Linked DNA regions of Lonchura striata. The protein of the gene in region 3 interacts with the protein of the main gene of each other region in a pairwise test. Links are inferred from orthologs where the notes say so. Each region holds a gene or a part of one and is shown on either strand. Other genes may lie near its edges.

Region 1 (7,756 bases), on a different chromosome or scaffold from region 3:
CCTCCCTTGGCAGGGAGGAACAGTAGGAAAGGGAACGAACAGTGCCCTTGACAGAACACATCTGGAAAAATCTCCCTCTAGATATAAACTGCCATTCCAAATGACCACCTTGAATAGCAAAACCCTGCATGCTTTTGTGGGCAGAAGGAACAAAGCTGGATCAACAAAACTGCTGAATAACAAAAAAATGACTGTGTGAAAAAAGCCTCACTGTCACACCTTAAAAGGTGCTGGTCATCTGCTCAGACTGCCAGCCAGAGGAGGTTACTGAGAATGCAAAGCTTAAGATTTTTCCTGCTGCTGAAGAAATTAAAAATGTAAAATTATCTGACATTTCCTTAGCCAAAATCTTTCCCTGTTCACATATAACAAGTTAGCATCAAGACCCTTTCATCATCAGGCTACAAAAAATGGGGTTTGTTCCACATCCTTGTAAGGGTTAAAACCACCATAGTGCTGCAAACAGCTCCCACTGGCAGATCTCTGGGAGCATGATCTGTTAAAAGAGGCGAAAGTATTTCTGAATAACAACCACTTTTCCAGCAATATAGATTTCCATGCAGAAACCATGGCATGTGTGAGAGAAAGGGCAGCAAATAAAGAGATTTTGCTGACGTTTCATAATCACAAGGATAGACTCGGGCACAAGTGAGAGAGAGCAATTGATTATCTTGTAAGGGCAGACAGGTTGGTCTGTCTGCTGACACTAGCCTGGATCCATGCTTGGCTGTCTCCTTTTCCTGCTCTCAGTCCCTCAGGAACTGCTCCAGCTGCATCTGTCTGGCCTGAGCAGCCCCATAGTCACCCTGTCTACCAGCAAGGAAAGCGCAGCATATCCCGAAATCAGGGCACGCGGTCAAACGTGCCCAATCAGTTGGCACACTTGTCTGAAGGGAACAGGGTTACCAGGCCACAGATTTCAGAATCGAGGTGGTAGGGATGATCCATTATTCCTCAAAGAAGGAAAAAAACCAGGGGAGTCTCTGCCATCACTTCCCTCTCTCTGCATAATGGTATCACCTTCCACCGGCTCAGACATTGGCGGCAGCAGCGTGTAACGCATAGAGCTGCTGCCAAAATACATGCCAGGGCTGTACAGCCATCTCTGGAGCACAGCAATCAGTTGTGGCTGCTGCAGCAGCCCCTCTGCTCTGCTCCCTCCGTGGCACGGTCACACACACGCTGTGCCCACGCTGCTGCTGTGCCCACGCTGCTGCGGAGCTCACCAGGGCAGGGCAGTGCAGGGCAGCCCCAGCCACGCTGCCAACCTCACCCTGCCCACAGAAATTAAGCCAGCTGAGCAATGGGCATCTCTCCTCCCTCTACAGCAAGCAGCACATATAAAAATACATTAGAAGGCTGACACAGATTAAATGGAAACCTAAAATGTGTGCATTGATGATGTGCTGCATCTATGATGTCGTGCACATATAGCATTATACAGGCAATTCCACTTAAGTGTTGCTTTCCTACATAATCTGTTTAATTTAACTGCACTGAATGACATGCATATTGTAATCTAGCATCAAGCACTGCCTCCCATTCACTCCCCACACAGCTACAAACACAGAACATTCACACAACTAGTGCTGCGGTACAGTACATGACCAAACACAAAACCCATTTGTGACAACCAGCAATCCTCCCCCAGCCCAGGCACACGAGCCAGCCCTTACGCTTAGCACCTACAGAAAGCACACAAAGAACACACCCCACAAACAACATCTCCACCATCTCCCTCCTGTAAATCCCCCCCAGTTCAAGCAGAGATGATGGAGAAGGCAGCACGGGCAAGCAGCACATGCAGCCCCATCCCTCAGCACCCCACCACCAGCTCCATCATGCTGACAGAATCACACATGCCACTGTGTGGAATATAAAACATCCCACCGCTGCAGACAGATGTTGGCACACACACACATCCCTTCCTCGCAATTCCATGCTATTTACCCTAGAAAACCTGCTGCACACTCTCAACACAGAAATAAATCCTCACATACACCTCCCCAGCATTTGGTGCCTGCTAACCTGTGTGTCAAATCCGTTTTCTACCGAGCTACTCTTCCTTGCTGGGAGGCCGTCTCCTGCGTTTTCTTGTCCATTGGAAGATTTGAGAGGAATCTGGCTGGAATACAATGGCTTCGTCACCTCCACCTTGTTCCCAAACTTCAGGTAACAGGGCTGTGGGATGGTCCTGGCCGTTGGGACATGCAGGATTGGAGCAGCGCTGTGTACGGGTTTAGGTAGTCCCGATTTCATTTTGGAGGCTACCAGGATGGCTGGCATTTTCTCTTTCTGCTTTCCTAACACGTTTCTGTCAGCAGCAGCAACAGCAGAGACAGCAGGCAGGGAGAGAGAAAATGACACGCTGGGGAAGCTGTTCTGCTGTAAAGCAGCCTGGTTACTGCAGAGATCTCCAAAATCAGCTTAGAATTTAAAATCTACAATAAAACCAATTAAAAAAAATAAAAAAGAGAAAGGAAAAAAGAGAAAAAGAAGAAAAAACACACCACTTTCAGTCTAAAATATTTCTCAGCTTTATGCCAGCCTTCCACCTGTTTCCTCTAATTTTATTTTCAGTTCTTTACCACTGTCCTCTTTCCTATTTCTGCTATGTAACTTGCTCCTTCCTCTCTCTGACTCCTGCAATTTTCTTGCCTGGAAATGAAAGACTTTCACTCCATTATCTTGTCACCGCATCTTCAAAGTGAGGCAGCCTTTGGGGGAAAAAAAAAAAAAAAAAAAAGGAACCTGCTGCTGCATATGCTTCCCCTTCCGTACGCACTAGAGAGTGAGCGAGCAGGATTTCCAGCTTAAGATGTCCTTCTTCAGTCTTAGCCAAGAAGCAGATGTAGCTCAGTGTGTTAATGACTGATGCCCTTGGATACAAGCCTTAGTGAATCAAGCTTCTTAAGCCTAAATAGCTGTGAACAGGACAACGATGCCGGAGCAGAAGGAGAAACGTCCACTGACAGCGATTTTTAAACCAAAATATGTCAGCGGCCACAAAATTTCCCGGCTCCCCTAGTGCTGAGCATAAAAACCTGGACGGGGCGAGGAGTAGGGGTGGGAAAAAAAAAAAAAAAAAAAAAAAAAAGAAGAAAAAAAGAGATTAAAAATGAAAGCGATTCAGCAGCGAGAGGGAAGGGAAAGCAGCCGGCAGCCGATGCAGCTCATGCTCCCTCCCGCAGTGGAGCGGGCTCCCGGAGCATCCCGGGGGGGCCGGGACCAGCCGGGCGGGCGGGAGGCGGCGGCTGCCCGGCACCGAGCGGGCAGGGCGGGCCCCGGATTGGTCCTGCCCGCTCCGAGCAGCAACACACACACACACAAAAAAAATTAAATAAATAAATAAATACTCAAGAAATCGCTCCCTCTCTCCGCAGGGGGAGGAGCGGCTCCCGCGGCGAGCAGGGAGACCTGTGGGGAGGAGGGATCTGGAGGGATGGATGGATGGATGCTCCGGAGGCGCGGCACGGAGCGAGCCGGGGACCGGTTTCTTTTTGAAATTTAAAAAAAAAAAAAAAAAAAAATTCAAATCAAAACACCTGGAAGTGACTTATTGTTCGTGGCCGTTCGGGAAAAAAACTGCCGCTGCCAGCATCAACAGGAATTTGAATAAGCACAGTGAGTAATACGGCCCTGTTATAGCAACACTTGGCTTTGGGGAGGCTCTCAGTGCCGCAGGTTCCGCCTCACGCCGCTCGGTGGATGCCAGGACCCGTTCCGAGCCCCGGAGCCCGCGTTCCTGTTCATCCTGTGGCATTCCAGAGGTGCATTATTCCCTTCCTGCCACACCTGCAGGACAGCGGGAGGTTGATCATCCCTCTGGGAATCACGGCACCAAGCGATGCCTTCGAGACTGCCCAGCACCAGGACATACAATGCCACAGTGGCCAGCCAAGGCTTTGACTTATCCCTCACTACAAGAAAGACACTGAGGGGTTGGAGTGAGTCCAGAGAAGGGAATGAAGCAGGGAATGGAGCACGAGTCTGATGAGAAGTGGCTGAGGGAGCTGGGAGGGCTCAGCCTGGAGAAAAGGATGCTCAGCTGGGACCCTCTGGCTCTCGACAACTCCCTGGGAGGAGATTGCAGTCGGGTGGGAGTCAGGCTCTGCTCCCAAGCCACAAGTGACAGGAGGAGAGGAAATGACTGTGGCACCACTTGAGGCAGGTTCAGATGGGATATTAGAAAAAAATTCTTTACTGAAGGGATTGTCAGGCACTAGAATAAGCTGCTCAGGGAAGTGTTCACAAAACACATGGATATGGCACCTGAGGACATGGTTTAGTGAGAGTATGGCAGTGCTGGGTTAACAGTTGCATTTGATGATCTTGGAGGTCTTTTCCAACCTTAACAATTCTATAATTATAGGAGGGTGCCTCAGAATAATATTCACAAAGCCAACATGAGACATGGAAGCAAAAGGTGCATTTCAATCAAATCTTCATCACAGTTCCAGTTAATTACTTTATTTTCCTAGTAGGGCTGCTTCCTTCAACTCCTTATTCCCACCTCATCCATTCCCCAAGTAATGAACCCCTAAGCCACTGCCTGGGTGGCAAGGAAAAGATTGATCCTAGCACAAAGAGAGTGGTTTAGGTTAAGATTAAAAGTTCCAACCCCCTGCCATGGGCAGGGGCATCTTCCACTAGTCCAGGTTGCTCAAACCCCCATCCAAACCAGCCCTGAACACTTCCAGGCATGGGGCATCCAGGGAAACAATGAACCTACACTTGAAATATTTGAAATACACACTGGGTGCAGAAACTCAGCAGGACAGAGGAAGCCCAGCCCCACTGCCCTTGCCCCATCTAGGCTGCAAGCAGTGCTTGGGGAAGGACGGCTCATTCACGTTCAATCACTCATGGCAAGGGGAGCTGGGACCTGCCTCTTTAACACACAATCTTTTCAGGAAGTTTTAAATGTGTAAACCTCAGGTTTTTAGATCTGAGACTCTTTCAGGCAGAAAAAAGGCATTTCTTGGATTGTATTGTAGGTGTCTCCAGTTTGAAAGGCAGCATTGCTGGATCCTTCTGCAGATGTCATCCTCAATAACTTACCCAAGGTTACACAGTGACTAAGTGGCAGTACTAAAAACTAAAGTCAGAAATTGTGCTCTACTTATTATCAGGTACTATTCTTCCTCAACACTGCAATGTAAAATGTAATTCAAGTTCCCACATAAAGCTCACGTGCTCAGTCTTGGCTGTTGCTGGGATTTTTCAGCACACTGCTTTCACATGTACCACTTCTGCAGGCTGTTGTGTAGTAACTACAAAAGGGTAAATTTATGGTAGCTGTTTTTTTAAGTAACTGCTTCCACCTCAATCTCTTTATCCACCAATTTCAGATGGGAAAGCACACATGCCTCATCATCCACTGAGATCCCACCAAGACAAATCTTCTGCCATAACTGTCCACAATGACAGCTTAAACACAGCTATATAGAACATTTCAAAACCCTACAATTCGATAAAGAATGTAAATTTACCATCTGAGAGGACTGGTAGTCCTTGGAGCAGAAATGTGTCAACTGCTCCAACACCATTTCCATCGTTCCATGCTGAGAACTCAACCCTGTTGGCTTAGAGAAGGTTGGGCTCCAGTATGAACATCTTGAAAAAGATCCAGGCCTGAAAACGAGGCTAATTTTAGATCTGTAATAAAATATAGTAAGGTTTAAAAGCTATTAGAAGATCTAACTGACAGCTTTACGTTCTGTTCTTCACTTACACATTTTATGAGGTCCGGGCCACCAATCCCTGCTGCACCCGACTTGCCTGTTTTTGTTGTTCTGTTTTTATCTTGGAAAACTGGCTAGGGTATGGGACACCAAACCAGCCACAAAGTTAATTTGACCAAAAGAAAAGGATTCCTTTCGTTGCTCCCTTAACAATCATGGAATCTGATCCTTTGACAATGGCAGATTGGATACTCCACAGCTCCTTTGGACACTCAAAGGAGTTTTACTTATTCTCAGCATACAGTCCAGCCTACTGAATAGGATTTCTTCTGAATACACTCAGTCTATGATCCTGACAGACATTTTGCCAAATCAGTGGACACATTCCTCATCAAAGCTTAATGTGAATTCCTGATAATAGATTTGAAGAGTGACCTAGAATTACTGTTTCTCTCATGGAGTCAGTTTGCACCTAACAATCCTTTGTCATCTAAAACCTGGGGGAGCTTTTATGTTATACATATTTTGCTTTATATATCTAAACATCACAGCATAATGGCACTGAAATGCAAGCTGCTGTATCCAGTGGCAGTGCAGTTACATGAGATCATAAGTTATATCACATTACAGGCTTTATCTGCAAAGACTGGCAACATCAACTTTGGTCTGACTTTGGAATTGACAAGTTTTTGGGTTGTCCCGGTTTTTTGTTTTGCTTTGGTTTTGGATTGTTGTTGTTGTTTTTGCTTAATAAATTACTTTTTATCTGTTTTTAAGGCTAGGATTTTTAAAAGAAACTACTTCTCTTGGACAGTCAAAGGGATTTGGGAACCTGTCTCTTATCTTCTTTGAAAAGCCCAACCAGTTTTCCCTTCCCTGTTTTGGATCACCCAGATTTCTGTGTCTAAGGTAGGAGTAAGTAACCTTAAAAAGGAGGCAAATTACCTAAACAAAAAGCAAGAGCTTCATTCCTTCCCAGAAATGTTGAGTAAGCCTGTGACTAGGAGAAATTCCCTTGCAGCTTTAAGTCTGATGAGTATCTTTGCCTGAATAACTACAACATCCCCTCCTTATCTGCCTGTAGTCGAGGGAGCATCCACTCACTCCCCAAATGGGGGAATATGGAAGGGAAATGCTGTAAACAAGCATTTCCCTGTTAGAAAAAACAACCCATCACAATGAAACCACAAGAAACCCTACTGATTTGGCTTACACAGCTGATTTTGAAGCTCAGAAAGTATCCCTGCTTGGGGCTCAAGCTGTGACTGCTCAGCACCATGGAGTGTCAGCTCAAGTGCCAAGACTCTGGTGTTGAGAACTGGCTTAATACTCTCAAAATTTTAGTGAGCAGGCTCATGTGAACTCCAGAACTTAACCAGAACAGAACACCAGAGGAAACTGTTTGAATGCCCTGTAGTTCAAGAGCTTGCAGGCAAGTCAGCACATTGCCCAAAACAAAGCCCATAAAGAGAACAAAAGCCCAGGGTTGACTGCTCTTGAACAGATGATCTTTATGAATGAGATGAACGTTTCTGGAACAGCAAAACCATTGAAGCTGCCTCCACAGCCCACACATTATCAGTTAACAACAAAACAGGGTCTCTAAACCCAAGTGGAAAGAAAATGTCTGAATGAATTGCATGTGGGTATTGCAAGTAAAATTAAAAGCTTGATGAAATATTGCAAAAGATCAGAAAATCAGACCTTCCTTTCAACTTGTGGTTAATATACATCCTCAACAAAGCCAAATGTTACATTAGCGTAAATGGAAAAACCATGTAGAATTATGCTACCAATTAGAACACCTCATTAGCTGGTCTGGTGATTCAGAACTGCTGATGGAACTGAACTCAAGGCTTGAAAACACCTTGATCAACTCTATCCTCAGCTTTCAGGCATTAAGGATGGATCTGCAATCTCCCAGAAAAATCATTTCAAGCCGAGGTGAATATTCCTCAAATGTCACCACACAGTGTCAGAATCAGAGGGTTTAATTATTCTCTCAAAGCCATTCTCATCAAGCTTTACTGCTGCCAGGCAGCTGTCCTATAGACTGGGGGCATGTTCAGCCT
Region 2 (7,691 bases), on a different chromosome or scaffold from region 3:
TTTGTGTATCCCTTCCAATTCAGAATATTCTGAGTCTATGAATCCACCACTGCAGGTTCCTCTAAGGCTTAGGGGCCTCCTTACTTGTTCCATCTCCTCCACAGCATCCTTGACCACACCTAGACATGAAGTCAGAGCTGACACAACTGCTGCCTGGTTATCTGCAAAAGCAAAAGGACAAAAACTGTGGCACCTCACTGTTTCCAGTCAGTGTGCAACAACCTCCATCTAGGCTTGCAATCACTGTAGGATCAAACTTCTTGCAGAGCTCAGAGCTGCACTGTTGTCAGGCAAATAATCTGACCTGGTTTCCAAGCTTATACATTTCAAAACCAGTCAGGTTTTTGAGTTATTCTGCATTCAGCCTTCATTGTACCAGCTGGAATGTCCTTGCAAAAGCTACTGATGTTCCAAGACAATACGTCCTAGTGCTATTGCTCTGCATTTACAACACTCACCTCGTGGCAGGTTAGACACTTGCTCACAGGCCTCCCACACACCTCCAGTTGATATTAGCTGTTCCTGAGACAAGCTGAAATGAAACAAAACAAAACCCTCAAGGTTAGAGTCAATAACAGCATTGTGCTAGACTGTGGTTAAATTTTCTGATGATAAACACCAGCAAAAGTTCTGCTGCAAAGACGTCACCAACCAGCTTATCACTAGTATGGCATGTCCGTGTAAAGGTCTTGCTGCTTCCTAACAAGCATATTTGCAACTTTTTCTTGCCCTTTTTCCCAAAAATTTAAAAAAAAATCACAGAACCATGCAATTGAAAATTACAACCTCTCCACTGGAGCATTGAGAATTGTGTCTGTGAGTTGGATCATCCCTTCCACTACTTCAGTGGTAGCATCTCGAACCATCTTCCGAAGAGTAGTACCTGGTTGAGATTGAGAAAGAGCAAGAAAGTTGGCACAAAGTCAGCACTGGCAGGAAGCAAGTGCTGAGGATGAACACACAGACTGCTCTGTTTGTGTGGATACACTGTATAAATGAAGTCATTTGAAGAAAGGAAAATGCTTCCCAGTTCCAAAAAAAACTCTGGACAAGGATTTCGACACTGCATGAACTTCAATGCTCAGTCAACTACACAACTTCCTACATTATCACTCTCCCACAGATGGAAAACTGCAGCAGCAGACAGACAAGTACCTCACTCATAAACACGTTCAAAGTCTACAGAACAGCTGATAATGGGATACCATGCTAACGAAAACTTGCTGATTCCAGAACTCGTTAGCTCTGAAACACTCAGTTTTTCTACATAGTGGTGGTCAAAGAACCACCATCCTATACAGCAGTGACTGCCTTGCTGTCATTATCTCACCTTGGCCCTTGGGTAGCCAGTAATACACCGTGGCTACTGCAAGGATGGCATTTTGGACATCCTCACTCAGCTTCCGGCAGTTCTGAAAATGGAGAGGCAAAAGGATCACCCATGAGTAACACACATCTGCACCACATTTAGAAATCCTCACAAACAATCACTGGCTTTCAGACTGCTCCGAGAAAAGGGAAAATAACAACGGCCAGTCTGCTTGAGAAACAAACACAGCACGAAAAAAAGACACCATAAGCAAGCTGTATGCATCTCAACCTGCCTCATGATTTAGTAACAAAACACTCCTGCTGTGGTGGTTATTCATCAGAGAAGAAAAAGTAACTTAGATCATTACTCTGAATGAAGGTATTTTCTTCTCTCTCCTCCAAACACCTGTATGATAAACTTCTCTCCACTGATAGCAAAAATATTGCATATTCTTTGTTAAACCTAAGGTCTGTATTCTCCAATAATCTATCTCCATCAACAATGAGCTGTAGCTGTGAAAGAATACAAGAACATTTTTATTTAGTATATTTCCCTACCTTAGAGAAATTTGTTCTCTGGGCAGTTATTGGATTCTATCAATACCCTCTACAGTACACAACCCATTTAGTCAAATGAATCAAGAAATACCTGAAGCTTGCAAACACACTGCAATTTCACAGTCTGTCGAGGCTTTCTCTCACCTCTGCAGAAGGTAGTGGAGGCCTTGAGAATGCCAGACTCAGCTTTGTAGCTTCCTGTGATGTTACTTGGAATGTCTGACCTAAAAAAATCCAATGGGAGCAAAAGAAGAGAAAGAAACTCAGGTAAAAGATAAAAGAACAGAGCAGCTTGATGAGCAGCACCTCTGATCCTACTACTTGCTTACCATTACACCTAAGCCATACAAAAACATAAACCACAAAGAAAAATTCCCTGGTGCATTTGTGCCATGCATGTTGCTTGTGTCCTGTGTCTGCTTTTTCTCACTTGGCTGGTAGTGATAGCCAGAAGCCCAATCTGCATCCTGGTTCATGACCTCTTCACCAGGATGTGCCAGGAGGCTATAACAGAGACCTTTATAAATCTTGTATGAAAAGTTCAATACCGGCCTTTGCTTTGCCACACCTTGGAGCGCTTGGTGAGCAGAGTTAGTGGTCAGGCACTGGAATAGGCTGGCCTCGGAGGTGATGGAGTCACTAACCCTGGGGATATTTAGGAGGCTGACGTGGTTTAGGGCTTACAGACATAGCGCTGGGTTAACGGTTGGACTTGATCTTAAAGCTCTGTCTCTTCCAGCCTTGCCCATTCCGTGACTCCGCGAGCGGAGGGCACGCCCCACAGCTGCAGACCCGCCGGGGACAGCGGCCCTACCGCGGAGCGGCGCCGCGGGTACCCGGCCCCGGCCCCCACCGAGTCCCGGCCCGGCCCGGCCGCCCCCGCCCGTACCTAGCGCGTCCCAGAAGCGCGGCAGCTCGAACGGCTCTCGGCCCTCGCCCGGCTCTCCCTCTGCAACGGCACAGACACAGCTCAGCCCGCGGGGAGCCGGCCCGGCTCGGCCCGACCCCCGCCCGGCCCCGGCCCCGGCCCCGGCCCCGGCCCGCACCTCGCAGCCGCGCCAGCACCGCCCGCAGCGCCCCGCGCACGTCCCGCAGCGGCTCCCGCGCTTCCATCGCTGCGGGCCGGCCCCGGAGCGGCCCCGGAGCGGGCAGCGCGTCACGTCCGCTCCGGGAGCGGCTGGAGCGGCCCCACGGAGAGACAGCCCCGCCCCACAGAGAGACCTGCCCCACAGAGCCCCGCCCCACAGAGACAGTCCCGCCCCACAGAGACAGTCCCGCCCCACAGAGAGCCTGCCCCACAGAGCCCCGCCCCACAGAGACAGTCCCGCCCCACAGGGACAGCCCTGCCCCACAGAGAGCCTGCCCCACAGAGCCCCGCCCCACAGAGACAGTCCCGCCCCACAGAGAGACCTGCCCCACAGAGCCCCGCCCCACAGAGACAGCCCCGCCCCACAGAGAGCCCTGCCCCACAGAGACAGTCCCGCCCCACAGGGACAGTCCCGCCCCACAGAGACAGCCTCGCCCCACAGAGAGCCGAGCCCCACCCCACAGATTCAGCCCCAAAGAGACAGCCCCACCCCACAGAGAGCCCCACCCCACAGATTCAGCCCCACCCCACCCCATAGAGACAGCCCCGCCCCACAGAGAAAGCCCCATAGTGACAGTCCCACCCCAGAGAGACAGCCCCATAGAGACAGACCCACCCCACAGAGACAGCGCAGACCAGTTCGTTTCGATACACACTTTATTACTTGGCAAGCAAACAGGGAAAGCAGCGGGGCTGTGCCCCTGTGTGCGTGTTTGCGGTAAGCAGCGGGGCTGTGCCCCTGTGTGCGTGTTTGCGGTAAGCAGCGGGGCTCACACCGCTCTACATCAGCCGGCGGAGGTCCTCGAAGTTGAGCATGTTGTTGGCCACATCGGACCAGGCTGCATGGGTTGCCCCGTCCATCTCCGGGGCCAGGCTGTTGCTGCTCTCCAGAGTGTGGTTCGCACCACCGATGACTTCATGGCACTCAGGGCATGTACTCCTCTGCATTGCCCCCCCACACTCCCCAATTACATAGATATGGCCATTCTTGCACTTGAACCAGTGGCCACGGGGACAGCCAATAGCACTGACAATCTGCACCCTCTCAGCCTCAGAAATCCCCAGCCCTGACACAGGCAAGCTAGCATTGATCTTCTTCAGGTGAGCCTTCACTGCAGCCTCATCCTCCTCTGTGAATTTCTTTGTCCCTTCCAGGATCTCACGTGCACTGTTAATCTCTGCTGCAATGTCTGTGGACATCATCCTACTTGCTTTGCACCTTTCCAAGAGGCCCAGCAAATAAGTCAGTCTCTGGATCTCAGACTGCAGGTCAGTGAGCTCCTGTTCTGTAAAACTGAAGCGCTGCCTATCCAACCACTTCATCACTTCTTTCAGCCTTTCTATCACCTCACCCTGTTCATTCTCATCAATTTTTTTAATAGAATTAATTAGTTCTGCTACACGTTTGTAGAAATTAAGCAGATTCTCAATTAGTCCAATACTCTTTGCTGAGAGAGCAGAAGATTTTAGCTGGTTTTCCAGCATGACATACTTAGAGAATAGATTACGTTTCAGAAAAACTTCCCGCGCCAGTGCAGCCTGCAGTCTCCGTCTGTTAGACTCAATTTCCTCTGCCGGGCCTTGGATTTTCTGTTTCACCCGTTCTATCTCCTCCACCTGCCTTTTCACACTGCTGCCGTATCTCAGATTCTTTCTGATGGGTGTCTGACACAAAGGGCATACCTTCAGCTTGACGACATCATCATCTTCATCCATATAGTGGTCAAGGCCCAGCGACTCAAAGACATGGCCACAGTCTTCAAGCTGCACAAATCGAGCATTTGGGTCATCCTCAAAGCCAAAAAAGATCTGAGTGAGTTCCTCGTGGTCACAAACAAGGCACTTCTTTGGGCAGGGCTCTCCACACAATCCAACACAGGGATGACCACAGGGCAGCATCTTAGCACAGGGAACATTGCAGCGAGGCCTGTTGCACGGCTCAGAGCAAAGATTGGTACACTGGTAGTGCTGGCACTGCCACTCGCATGGCTCAGCACAAGGAACACAGCTTTCCCAACATTTCTTTTTGCACTTACTGTGGATACAGTAGTTCTGACATTCCTTCTGACAAGGAGGACATTCTGTAGTACAAGGCTCATGACACTTGTGGGAACAGATCAAGACACGCGTGCATGGCCTGACACATGCCATATGAAATCTTCCTCCAAAGCAAGAACCACAGGAACCTGAACACACATGACCACATGCCAGTGTGACAGAACACTTAACGTCACATGTCACACCACCTCTCATCCTCGTCATGCCAGCCATCCAGCAAGAAACTTCCTGCTCATGGCCACATTTCAATGTGATAGTAACCTGTTCAGAACACCACATTTTGCATTGCTTCCCACAGGAACTCTTGCATGTGTGTCCACAGTTTAACTTCTTCTGGCAAGGTTCTAGGCACTCAATTTCCCATGCTGGAATATGGCATGGCACCATCTGTATGTGGCCACACTTAGAAATCGTTTTCTCTACCTTCACCATACATTTTCCACAGGGCTCATAACATGACTTTGGGCAGCGGTGCCCATCTGCACAAAGTACCTTTTGACAAGGCTTCAGGCACTGGTACTTTTTGTGCTCTGGGTCATATGGATGACATACCCTTGTGCAAGCATGCCCACAACTCAACCTAAACTCACAGGGAAGAGTACAGCCTCCTTCCGGGACACTGTTGAAGTCTTCACCTGTAGATACCTTTGTCTTGGTTCCAGGGTGGTTTTGACAGCAAAGCTCCAATGACTGGCCAATGTGACCATTCTTCCCAAGGGTTTCAATGATCTTGTTCCAGAGAGGAACCTTGCCAAGCATTCTCATGTTTCCAATACAATAGAGGCCTTTCTTAGCTCTGGATAATGCCACACATATCCGATTAGGGATCTGCAAGAACCCAGGTCTCCCCTCATTGTTGCTCCGCACCAATGACAGCAGAATAATATCATTCTCCTCTCCCTGGTATTTATCTACCACATGAACCTTCACACCTTGAAAGATCTTTGCTGGCATGAGCTTGCGCAGACAGAAGAGCTGTCCAGTGTAAGTAGTGAGAATGGTGATCTGAGAAGGTTCATAGCCCTGACACAAGAAGTATTTGCAAAGTTCCACTACAAAGTGGGCCTCATGTGGGTTCTGGTGGCTTTTCCCTTCCTGGATTTCTTGTTCAGGAACCTCATGTTCCACAAAGAAGACATTAGTTGAGACACCCTGAAACAAGAGGAAGGATGTCAGAGAGAGAGAATTCTAGTTTCTGTCACCACAACCTGTTTCCATGCTCCTGATTATCCACTGACAAGAGGACTTTTGAGGAGCTGACTACAGTATGCAGTTACTGTGTACTTAGGTAATTTCCTCTCAGATTTCCATAGGTTATTAATCAAATTCCCATTTCAGCTTATTGGTAATATTTTAGTATCCTAATATGAAATCAGTTTCGGATTTTATTCCCTATCTTTCCAGAGATGTTTTTACTGTACATTTCCAGGTTATAGCAAAGAAAACATGAAGTGTTAGTAACTTCTCAAACCATACTCAAGGTGCGAACAGTGTCTTGTTTTGGCCCTGTGAGAAAAAGATACTAAGTTACCAGTACACAGGGCTGAGCACTTGCCTAAAACATGCCTCCTCTGTTGCTGCAATAAAAAGAAGCAGCAAGGAAGATTTCTCCTTCAACAGAATAAACTAGGAATGCTAGGACTCCGGTAGTCACTTACCAGCTCATGATGTGTAGAGTAGACTGCTCACCTGTTTAAAAACTCTATTTGCCCCGAGTTAGTAGGAGCTTTTAATGTTTTACCTATTAACTGGAATTATTTTACCTGTAAGAAATTATTTTTCTGCCTGCCAAAACCCAGAGACTGATTTTAACAGGCAAGAACAGCTTTTGTAGATCAAACACAGATCTCTTGCTTTTCCAAGGTATCCATAAGGGCAAAGTGTCCAGAGGAGCAGAATTTAATTCAGTCATCACTTACATTGGTTATTGTACTAGCTGGAAAAATACAAAGATTCAATTTTGATGCCTTTTGGTATCTGAAGTTTGTTTTAAGGCCAGATAGAACCACAAGATTCTCTAGAATAGATTCTTGTAGCAGAAATGGGGTAAAATTTTGTAGTCTCCCAAGTTGTTATGTCTTTTAGGTGGTATTTTTCTTATTTGTTGGGGTTTTGGTTAGCTGGATTTTGGAAGGGGTTTATTTGGGTTTCTAATTTAGTTAACTAAATTGTCTTCTTCAAAGACTTGATCTGAATTTCAAGATCTACCACTTTTCCAGATAGCTTATTCTGATAATTAAATCTTCACTATTAATTTTCTCTTGTGTGACTTCAGCATTCTGCTATAGTTTGCAGAATGCTTCCTTCATCCAGTTAAAGAACTTATAACTAATTAGTACTGGGTTTTTTTACGAAGACAGACTTACATAGTCTAAGGTTCTGTAATGCTACTGCTGCAACTGCCTCCAGTCTTTCTCCCAGAGTATGGCTTGTGTTTCAGAGATCCAAGGCCATCAGTGTAAAAGTCTAAGCTTGGTTCAGACTTCTGGGAAGTAAGCTGCATAGATTTTCTTTGCAAATGCCCAAATGGAGAAACCAAGGAAAAAGAGTTCCAGCAATCCTGTCACCTATTTTATGTTGGAGTTTCAATATTATCCATTAAGCCTTTCATTTAAGATTTCTTCTTAGCTTTCATGCTCCTACAATTCGTTTGTTCCCCCTTTCATTTTTTACTGTT
Region 3 (8,063 bases):
GGCAGAGTCATTTGCATACAAAGAGCCTTCTTTTTTGCCCCACAAAGATGACACTAACAAATTACTTCAAAACGTGACTAAACACGAACTACAAGACTGATGCTGTCACCTACACTAGAGATCTGTTTCAAAGACTGCATGCACTCCACATTATTTGTTTCCATTTTAGAGTCAGGACGCCAGCAGAAACACAATGGACCCAAGAATATGAAATAATAATATGTAACTGATCCTCTTATCTGCAGTATTTTGTTGAGATTCAACAAGCTTCAAGCTAAATCTTGGTGAGTTCAGAATCTGTTGGGAGCTGGAATTGTTGTCTCACAGATGGTGCTCACAAGGAGCTGTAATTCCCCATTTCTGGGCCAATTCTATTCAAAAATGTGTCTACTCGTCATCTCTGGCCTCCACACCAGACTGATGATTCTCTTCCACATCCGCCTGTGCCTGAGTAATTCCTTCATCATTTACTGGGTTGCTCTGGAGAGGGGATTATGGATAGAGGTACGAGCCAGGTTTAAAAACACATCTGTGAACAGCAGTTCTGGAAATGGTATCTCAAAATGAACCATAAATAGACACTGTTGTGCTCCCCTGAAAGGCAAAACATATTCTCAGCCACTCCCTAATGCTCCAGAAACCAGTAATCACATGCTCTGGAAGAGTAAACCTTAGACCAGACATTTTCACCAGTATCTTGAAAAGTAGCAAATCCTTTAACAAAACTGAAGATTTCCAAAAGGCCTGATGTAACAGCAGGTTTCTTGAAGTCTGGCTTCTTTCACTACAGCCTCTCAGTTATAACCCTGGAGTCCCAACTCCACAGAACTTTTACTGTGAAGATCCAGAAGATGCCAGGGATAGTCCTAACAAATATTAAAATGTTCCTTTGCCCTGAAAAAAAAAAAAAAAATGCTGCGCCTGCATGCTTCCCTCAGGAAACAGTGTTTAAGAGAGGACTCTGATCTCCTACCTTTAGACAGTCTTTAACAAATTACTAAAATTCTGCTCTCAAAATGGCCCAAGTGGTCTTTTATATAGCAGGTAGAGATGATATGCTACAGGAAACTGCAATCATCAGGAGAGCAGCAAACAATACTGCTATAAAAACATTCAGTCGGTTAATCTATAAGGCAGCCATTTCAGATCACACCTAAAGGTTAATTCACAAAATCTACCAGGGGTGGGGGAATCTCTCTCATTTTTGGTGAAAAGCAGGAAGATTTGGTAGTCTGAAAAAAAATGTCAGCCTCAAAACCAACTATCTGATATTCAAGCAGACACATTCAAATGCATCCTCAAATGTGAAAAGAAAAAAGGAAAAATTCAGCCATGGCCTTGCAGACATGAGGCAATTACATTCTCTTCCAAAAATTACCTAGAGCTTTCCCACAACAGTCCATGAATTATTATCAGACAGATACTGAACATTTAAAGAAGCTCCAGGCTAACGGATTCATCTCACAAGCACTCCTGTTTACAAATAAGATGAATGGGAATATCAACAGATATGTCTTTAGACTTTTTTTTTTTTAAACTAGTGGCATTTCTTGAATGATGAAAGGGCAGCTCTGCAGTCGGCCTGAAACACAGCTTCCTTTTCTCTCCATACTTCCTGCATTACATCTATCCATGCACTTCAGTTTCTTGTCAATTTTAAAGGTATTCAGGAACCTAATGCCCAGAGGGAGATTATCAATACTTATCGATATCTAGAAAACCAATGACAGCGTTCCGGGAGAAACAGATCACAACTCCACCTCAAGACTGGAGAGGAAGAGATAAAAGAAGAGTCACCACTGTCACAAAGTTTACACAGGGGCTTCAGCCAAACCCTTTGAGACACCTTGGAATGAGGGCTGAGAATGAGTGAGGACACCGAGCAAAAAAATGTGTAAACACATTCCAAGGGGGGGGAAAAACCCCCAACAACACAAGGCTCACGCACAAAAAAATAAGCCAACAATTCCTAAACCTAAAACTGAGACAGAGCACTGCTGTCTTCAGACAAAGAAACACAGTTCTTTCCACTATATTTTTATAAGTGAGCTCCTCAGTTGCACTACCAGTATTAGCGCTGGAAGAAGGCTCAGCATGGGAAATTCTGGCCATTGCAGCGTTTCCCACTGGTCACACCGACACCAGCTCTTCCTCTCCACTAAAACCCAGCTCATAGTAGCTCCTATTTTCCCGGCTTTAATCCCTCATTTAACAAAGTCCAGGTCGGGGGGAGCGGCCTGCACGCAGAATTCTCACGAAGAATTCCACTCCTGCAGCTGTGGACGCTGGTGAAAGATAACCTCCTCCTTCCGCACAAAGCTTAAGAGCGGATATATATTCAGGAAATAGGAGGAAAAGCACCGACTGTGCAGTCAGTTCTTTGTGTACACACCTTAACAAAATGAAAGGACACGCACGCACACACCCACGCCGACAAATCTGCTAGAGAGAGCCCACCACAATATGAAAGATAATGAACACGAAGACAAAAAGTCTGAAAAGCGGCACTGGGTTTCACGCTAGGCAAGCACAGCTTTCCCGGCTGGAAAGCGGTCCACGGATTTCCAGAGATTCCACAACTATCAGCATTTTTAACAGTGGTGGTTCTTCACCGCCCTCCCTTCAGCCGCACGGAGCGCGGGGCCCAGCAGGAGCCGCCCGAGCCCTGGGGCCGCTCGGTAGCGCCGAGATGGATTTTAAAATGTCGGGAGGCGAGCGAAGAACCGCCCCGGCGGCAGCGGCAGCACAGCCCGCGCGGCGGGGACGGGGAACCGCGCACTGACAGGGAGGGTCTCCCCAGGCAGAACCCGCCGACCCCCGGCAAGTCGGGGCGGGCCCGCTCCTTCCCTCCCTCCCCGTCACCCCGAGCAGACGGCGCGGACGCCCCAGCACCGACATCTTGCTCCCGCCGCCACCTCCCTCCCTCCTTCCTCCTCACCCGCAGCTCCTCGAAATCCGCCATTTTCTACCCGCCGCCGCCGGGCGCCGCCGCCACCATCATCGTGCACCCGGAGCGCGCTCCCGGCACGTGACGGGGAGGGCGGTCCGGCGGGAAGGGCGGCGGGGCGGGGCGAGGGGAGCTGCGGGGAAACCGGGCTGGCGCGGCACACACACCGGGAATCCTGGGGGAAACCGGGCTGGAGCGGTACACACACCGGGAACCCTGGGGGAAACCGGGCTGGAGCGGTACACACACCGGGAATACTGGGGGAAACCGGGCTGGAGCGGTACACACACCGGGAATACTGGGGGAAACCGGGCTGGAGCGGTACACACACCGGGAATCCTGGGGGAAACCGGGCTGGAGCGGTACACACACCGGGAATCCTGGGGGAAACCGGGCTGGAGCGGTACACACACACCGGGAATCCTGGGGGAAACCGGGCTGGAGCGGTACACACACACCGGGAATCCTGGGGGAAACCGGGCTGGAGCGGTACACACACACCGGGAATCCTGGGGGAAACCGGGCTGGAGCGGTACACACACACCGGGAATCCTGGGGGAAACCGGGCTGGAGCGGTACACACACACCGGGAATTCTGGGGGAAACCGGGCTGGAGCGGTACACACACACCGGGAACCCTGGGGGAAACCGGGCTGGAGCGGTACACACACCGGGAACCCTGGGGGAAACCGGGCTGGAGCGGCACACACACCGGGAACCCTGGGGGAAACCGGGCTGGAGCGGCACACACACCGGGAACCCTGGGGGAAACCGGGCTGGAGCGGTACACACACCGGGAACCCTGGGGGAAACCGGGCTGGAGCGGTACACACACCGGGAATACTGGGGGAAACCGGGCTGGAGCGGCACACACACCGGGAACCCTGGGGGAAACCGGGCTGGAGTGGTACAGACACACTGGGAACAATGGGGAAACTGGGCTGGAGCGGTACAGACACACCGGGAACCCTGGGGGAAACCGGGCTGGAGTGGTACACACACACCGGGAATCCTGGGGGAAACGGGGCTGGAGCGGTACACACACACCGGGAATTCTGGGGGAAACCGGGCTGGAGCGGTACAGACACACTGGGAACAATGGGGAAACTGGGCTGGAGTGGTACAGACACACCGGGAATCCTGGGGGAAACTGGGCTGGAGTGGTACAGACATACTGGGAACCCAGGGGGGAAACTGGGCTGGAGTGGTACAGACACACCAGGAATCCTGGGGGAAACTGGGCTGGAGTGGTACAGACACACTGGGAGCCCTGAAAGGAAACTGCCCCACAGTGGGACAGACTGGGAACTGTGAGGGAAAACTTGTCCATGTGCACACACACATGTCCATAGATACCGGTCCCAATTACACGGTGTTCGTGCAGCAGCTGCAGGGTGCGAAGAATTCAAATGGCCCTGGAAAAGATTCCAGAGGGATTACAGAATGACAAAATAGATATATTTCTGGAGATCACCTAGACCTGACAAGGCAGGGTCACACAGAGCAGGTCATACTGGAACTCCAGGTGGGTTTCAAATGTCTCACAGAGGGACACTCCTGGAACCCTGGAACCTCTCTACCAGAGCTGTGCCATCTTCAAAATAATGTTCTTCCTCATGCTGAAGTGAAACTTCTTGTATTTCAGTTTTGGCCATTGCTCCTCATTCGGTTGCTGGACACCACTGAAAGAGTCCAGCACTATCCTCTAGATCCTTTGAGATGTTTATCTGCATTATTGAGATCCCCTCTCAGTCTCCTCTAGGCTAATCATACCCAGTTTTTGCAATCTCTCATCACAAGGGCTACTCTAGACCCTTCATAATCCTTGTGTCCTCCACTGGACATTCTGCATTAACTCCTTGTCTTTCCTGTACTGAGGAGCCCAGATCTGGTCACACCTGCCATGTTTCTTCCCCTCCAGAATTAATACTCTGCTCTTTAACTAAGTTGTTCTACTAAAAACCAACCAAACAAAAATAAAAAAACAACCAAACTAGGAAATCATAGAATAAAATAAATAGAACATATTCCAGTTTGCAATTGAAGTGGATTAAATAGAAAGCTTGTGATTTTACAGCCCAGTTTATCCACCCAATCAACAGCACTCATAATTCGTGTTATAATGATGATGTAGCATGTTTTATTAATAAAAAATGAAGGGAAAATGTCATCAGCAGTAAGCCTCAAAAACTGGATAATGGGTTTCCAGCTGTAAGGAATGTAAATGTTAGGACATTTATGGAAAATAAACATCGAGGTGCAGCCGAGAATATTGTTTTCAAAAGCAGCCAGAGATCATTACCTAGTCACAATAATTACCTACTCACAATATTCAGTTTCATCAGCAACTTGGCTGTAAAAGCAAACTACCGATTTATTGCAATAAAAAATAGGAAAGACTCAGCCAACAAACAGGCGAGCAGCCAGCATAACCCAAACAAGAAGATAAAAAAAATAAAAGAGGCCTGGAATGCAAAACATATTTGCTCATATTAACCAAAAGGCAGCTTGTTTTGTACGACTGACACATCCAGAGCAGCAACTTCAACAGTAACGTATGGGCCAAGGGACAGGCCACGTCAGCAGCAGGCTCTGCAAGGAGGGATGCTGGCAGGCAATTTTAGGGAACCTTTTCTACAGGATATTGATCCCTGCCATACACGCTACCTATGGGCACTTAATGCCACTGTAAGACCTGGATTCCAAGGAACTCAATAACTAACATCATTAGTTGCACTTTTGCAACAGCTTGCTAAGACAGGCTTTCCTTTTTATTTACTGTTTACTCCAAGATAAACCCTTAAATGTGCCAAAGTTTTCCACTGCAGGCACAAATACCTAGTCCTCTGCACTAACAGCTTTTGTGCTTGGTCTTATGACACCCCTTTCCCCTGAAGATTTAAACATAAGGACTTCATTAATTTCAAACACCTTCTGTTAGTCAAAACCAATAATTGACAGGCTAATAAAACATGCCATCTGCCACACCACTGCATGAGTTCAACTCCTAAGTCCATCAAATGCTTATTTTTCCCTCCAATACCAAACTAAAGGGGCAAGCTGCAGGTTAGACTCTCTTAGATCATTAAAGCATGACCAGACCAAAGCCTTCTTTTGTTCCTTTAACAAACCCTCTAGTGTTCCTTCCTTCAAACACACCAGGAAGGACATCAGTGTTCAAGCTCACATCAGAGCCAGGCGGTTCTTTTCTAGTGTACAACTCACCTCTCACTTCATAACCACATCTTTCAACATTTCCATTCATCTTATCCCCAATATCTGCAGGGATAGGAGCAAATGCTATTTTTATATATCTCATATACATAAGATAATAATAGTTTATGTAGTAGCTTTCCACAATATTTTACTGAAGTGTTCCTCTGTCTTTCCCGCAGTCTTTGTACTACACATTCCATTATCTCCCCACAAAAATTTCTTTCAAATCTCCCTCTTCTGTTTTTCCAGTAACTAGAATTAATCTCCCTGCTCTAGTTCTTTAAAATCCTGCTGTTTTATAATAACTTCTCACAAACACATCAACTCCAGGCTTATACTCCACAGCTACCAAGTCATCTTTGCTAAATTTCAACATTTCCACTATTTCTTTTTCCACTAAACTTACCTCAAATGTCAGAAATTCTTCTGGCATATAAAACTTCTGCTTCTTCTTGGACCTCCATCTCCGAAACCCCTTTCTTCTTCTCCTCTTTCTTCTCACTAAACCTGCTGCTGCATCTCCTGAACCATCTCCTAGGCTCTTTCCTTGGGCATTTTTTGAATTTTCAATATTAGTGTTAAATCTCGGCCCAGAATCAGCCATTGGAGGATGAGACCTTCCCCAGAGCAGCCACTACATACTCCTATCTCCCAGAAATCACTGAGTTAGTTGCTGGGTTTTTATCTTCCCCAGTAGGCTCTAATTAGGGCACTTAACGAGCCTCTAGGTGCTAAGCAACCTGCCCTCTAAATTGAGGCTTGTTAGGGAAAAAAACCCATCTGGTTTCAGCCTTTTCTAGTAATCTTTCTTGTGCTATGAACAGTATGTCTGTATAAGCACTGCCTGTTCCCACAGCTGTGTTAACTACGGAAAGACATCTGAACATCCAAATAAACCCTCCCAGTCTTCCACAAACACTACAGTTAAAAAAAAAAAAAAAAAAAAAAGGCCCAAAACAACAAACAAAACCACTCTGCAGATGCTCGAAGGATTGCAACAATTGCTTTTATCGGAATTACACCTCATCAAACCCCTCCTGTGCTGCTTAACCAGCTGCTAATAGACCACAGGCAGGCAAGGATGGGGCTGGGGCGACTTGGGTGTAAAGTAGATTTGTTTTGTGTGTCCTGTGTTTAAAGGAAAGAGTTTTATGAGGTCAGCCTTAAGCTTCTCCATCATCTCTCATATCCCACAGTCATGTCCTTTTTAAGGTAACATTAGGAGTGAATGGCAAAAATATTTAAGTGGTTGTCAGACCTCTTGTGTGAGGTCTAGAGCTGTCAAAGCAGAGAGACTGAAAGACACGCTTAATCATGCTGCTGACAAAAAATATGTGTGCTCTGGCTATAAGACAAAATATTCTAAGTTGGATGCTTAGGCTGCACAGGGCTTGGAGAAACCTGGTCTAGTGGAAGGTGTCTCTGTCTGAGGCAGGGCACTGGAACTGGATGGTCTTCAAAGTCCCTTCCAACCCAATTATCCTGTGGTTCTCTGATTCTGCTTATTGTAAAGAAATAAGTTATGTTGCCTGCATTGTATCTGCATTTTCTATGCAGCTGTTTGACAAAACAGAGTTTGGATGTAATCTGTCAAAGTGATGCTGTTTGGGTTTCGCCCTTTTAAATTTTATATGCTCTCTGTATTCTTCACACATATATTTGTAACTCTGTCACTTATTGTATTAATAGCTAGTTTTCCCAGTACTTTTCCATGGCCTTTCCCTAAGCAGAAATACACAACAAATTCCAGAGCTCCAAGCCCCGGGGGATACAAGGCTCCAGTGCTGTCTTGGTTCTTCCTGGGAGCCAAGGCTGGGAACAGCCCTTGAAGACACATTTTCATGGACAAAGTACAACTGGTGCTGAAGGAGGGACTGCAGAGAAGGGGCTTGACCTGGGG

Evidence for each region.
Region 1: the proteins of PIAS2 (region 3) and NAV2 interact in binary tests that used the Homo sapiens proteins (3 or more experiments, as listed by UniProt). The two-hybrid records come from large-scale screens. The link is inferred for Lonchura striata from reciprocal best matches to the Homo sapiens genes PIAS2 and NAV2.
Region 2: the proteins of PIAS2 (region 3) and CCNDBP1 interact in binary tests that used the Homo sapiens proteins (3 or more experiments, as listed by UniProt). The two-hybrid records come from large-scale screens. The link is inferred for Lonchura striata from reciprocal best matches to the Homo sapiens genes PIAS2 and CCNDBP1.

The regions. Positions count from the first base shown.
Region 1 is NC_134608.1:57,024,878-57,032,633, forward strand, and holds the start of NAV2 (neuron navigator 2), read right to left. Parts: upstream 3,088-7,756; 5' UTR 2,287-3,087; coding exon 2,029-2,286; intron 1-2,028. UniProt on the Homo sapiens protein: Possesses 3' to 5' helicase activity and exonuclease activity. Involved in neuronal development, specifically in the development of different sensory organs.
Region 2 is NC_134619.1:8,496,978-8,504,668, reverse strand, and holds the start of CCNDBP1 (cyclin-D1-binding protein 1), read right to left. Parts: upstream 3,034-7,691; 5' UTR 2,983-3,033; coding exon 2,916-2,982; intron 2,819-2,915; coding exon 2,759-2,818; intron 2,094-2,758; coding exon 2,014-2,093; intron 1,413-2,013; coding exon 1,331-1,412; intron 884-1,330; coding exon 787-883; intron 533-786; coding exon 459-532; intron 162-458; coding exon 85-161; intron 1-84. Other genes in the region: ZNFX1 (NFX1-type zinc finger-containing protein 1), read right to left, coding at 3,737-6,166. UniProt on the Homo sapiens protein: May negatively regulate cell cycle progression. May act at least in part via inhibition of the cyclin-D1/CDK4 complex, thereby preventing phosphorylation of RB1 and blocking E2F-dependent transcription.
Region 3 is NC_134642.1:2,609,312-2,617,374, reverse strand, and holds the start of PIAS2 (E3 SUMO-protein ligase PIAS2), read right to left. Parts: upstream 3,052-8,063; 5' UTR 2,963-3,051; coding exon 2,939-2,962; intron 1-2,938. UniProt on the Homo sapiens protein: Functions as an E3-type small ubiquitin-like modifier (SUMO) ligase, stabilizing the interaction between UBE2I and the substrate, and as a SUMO-tethering factor.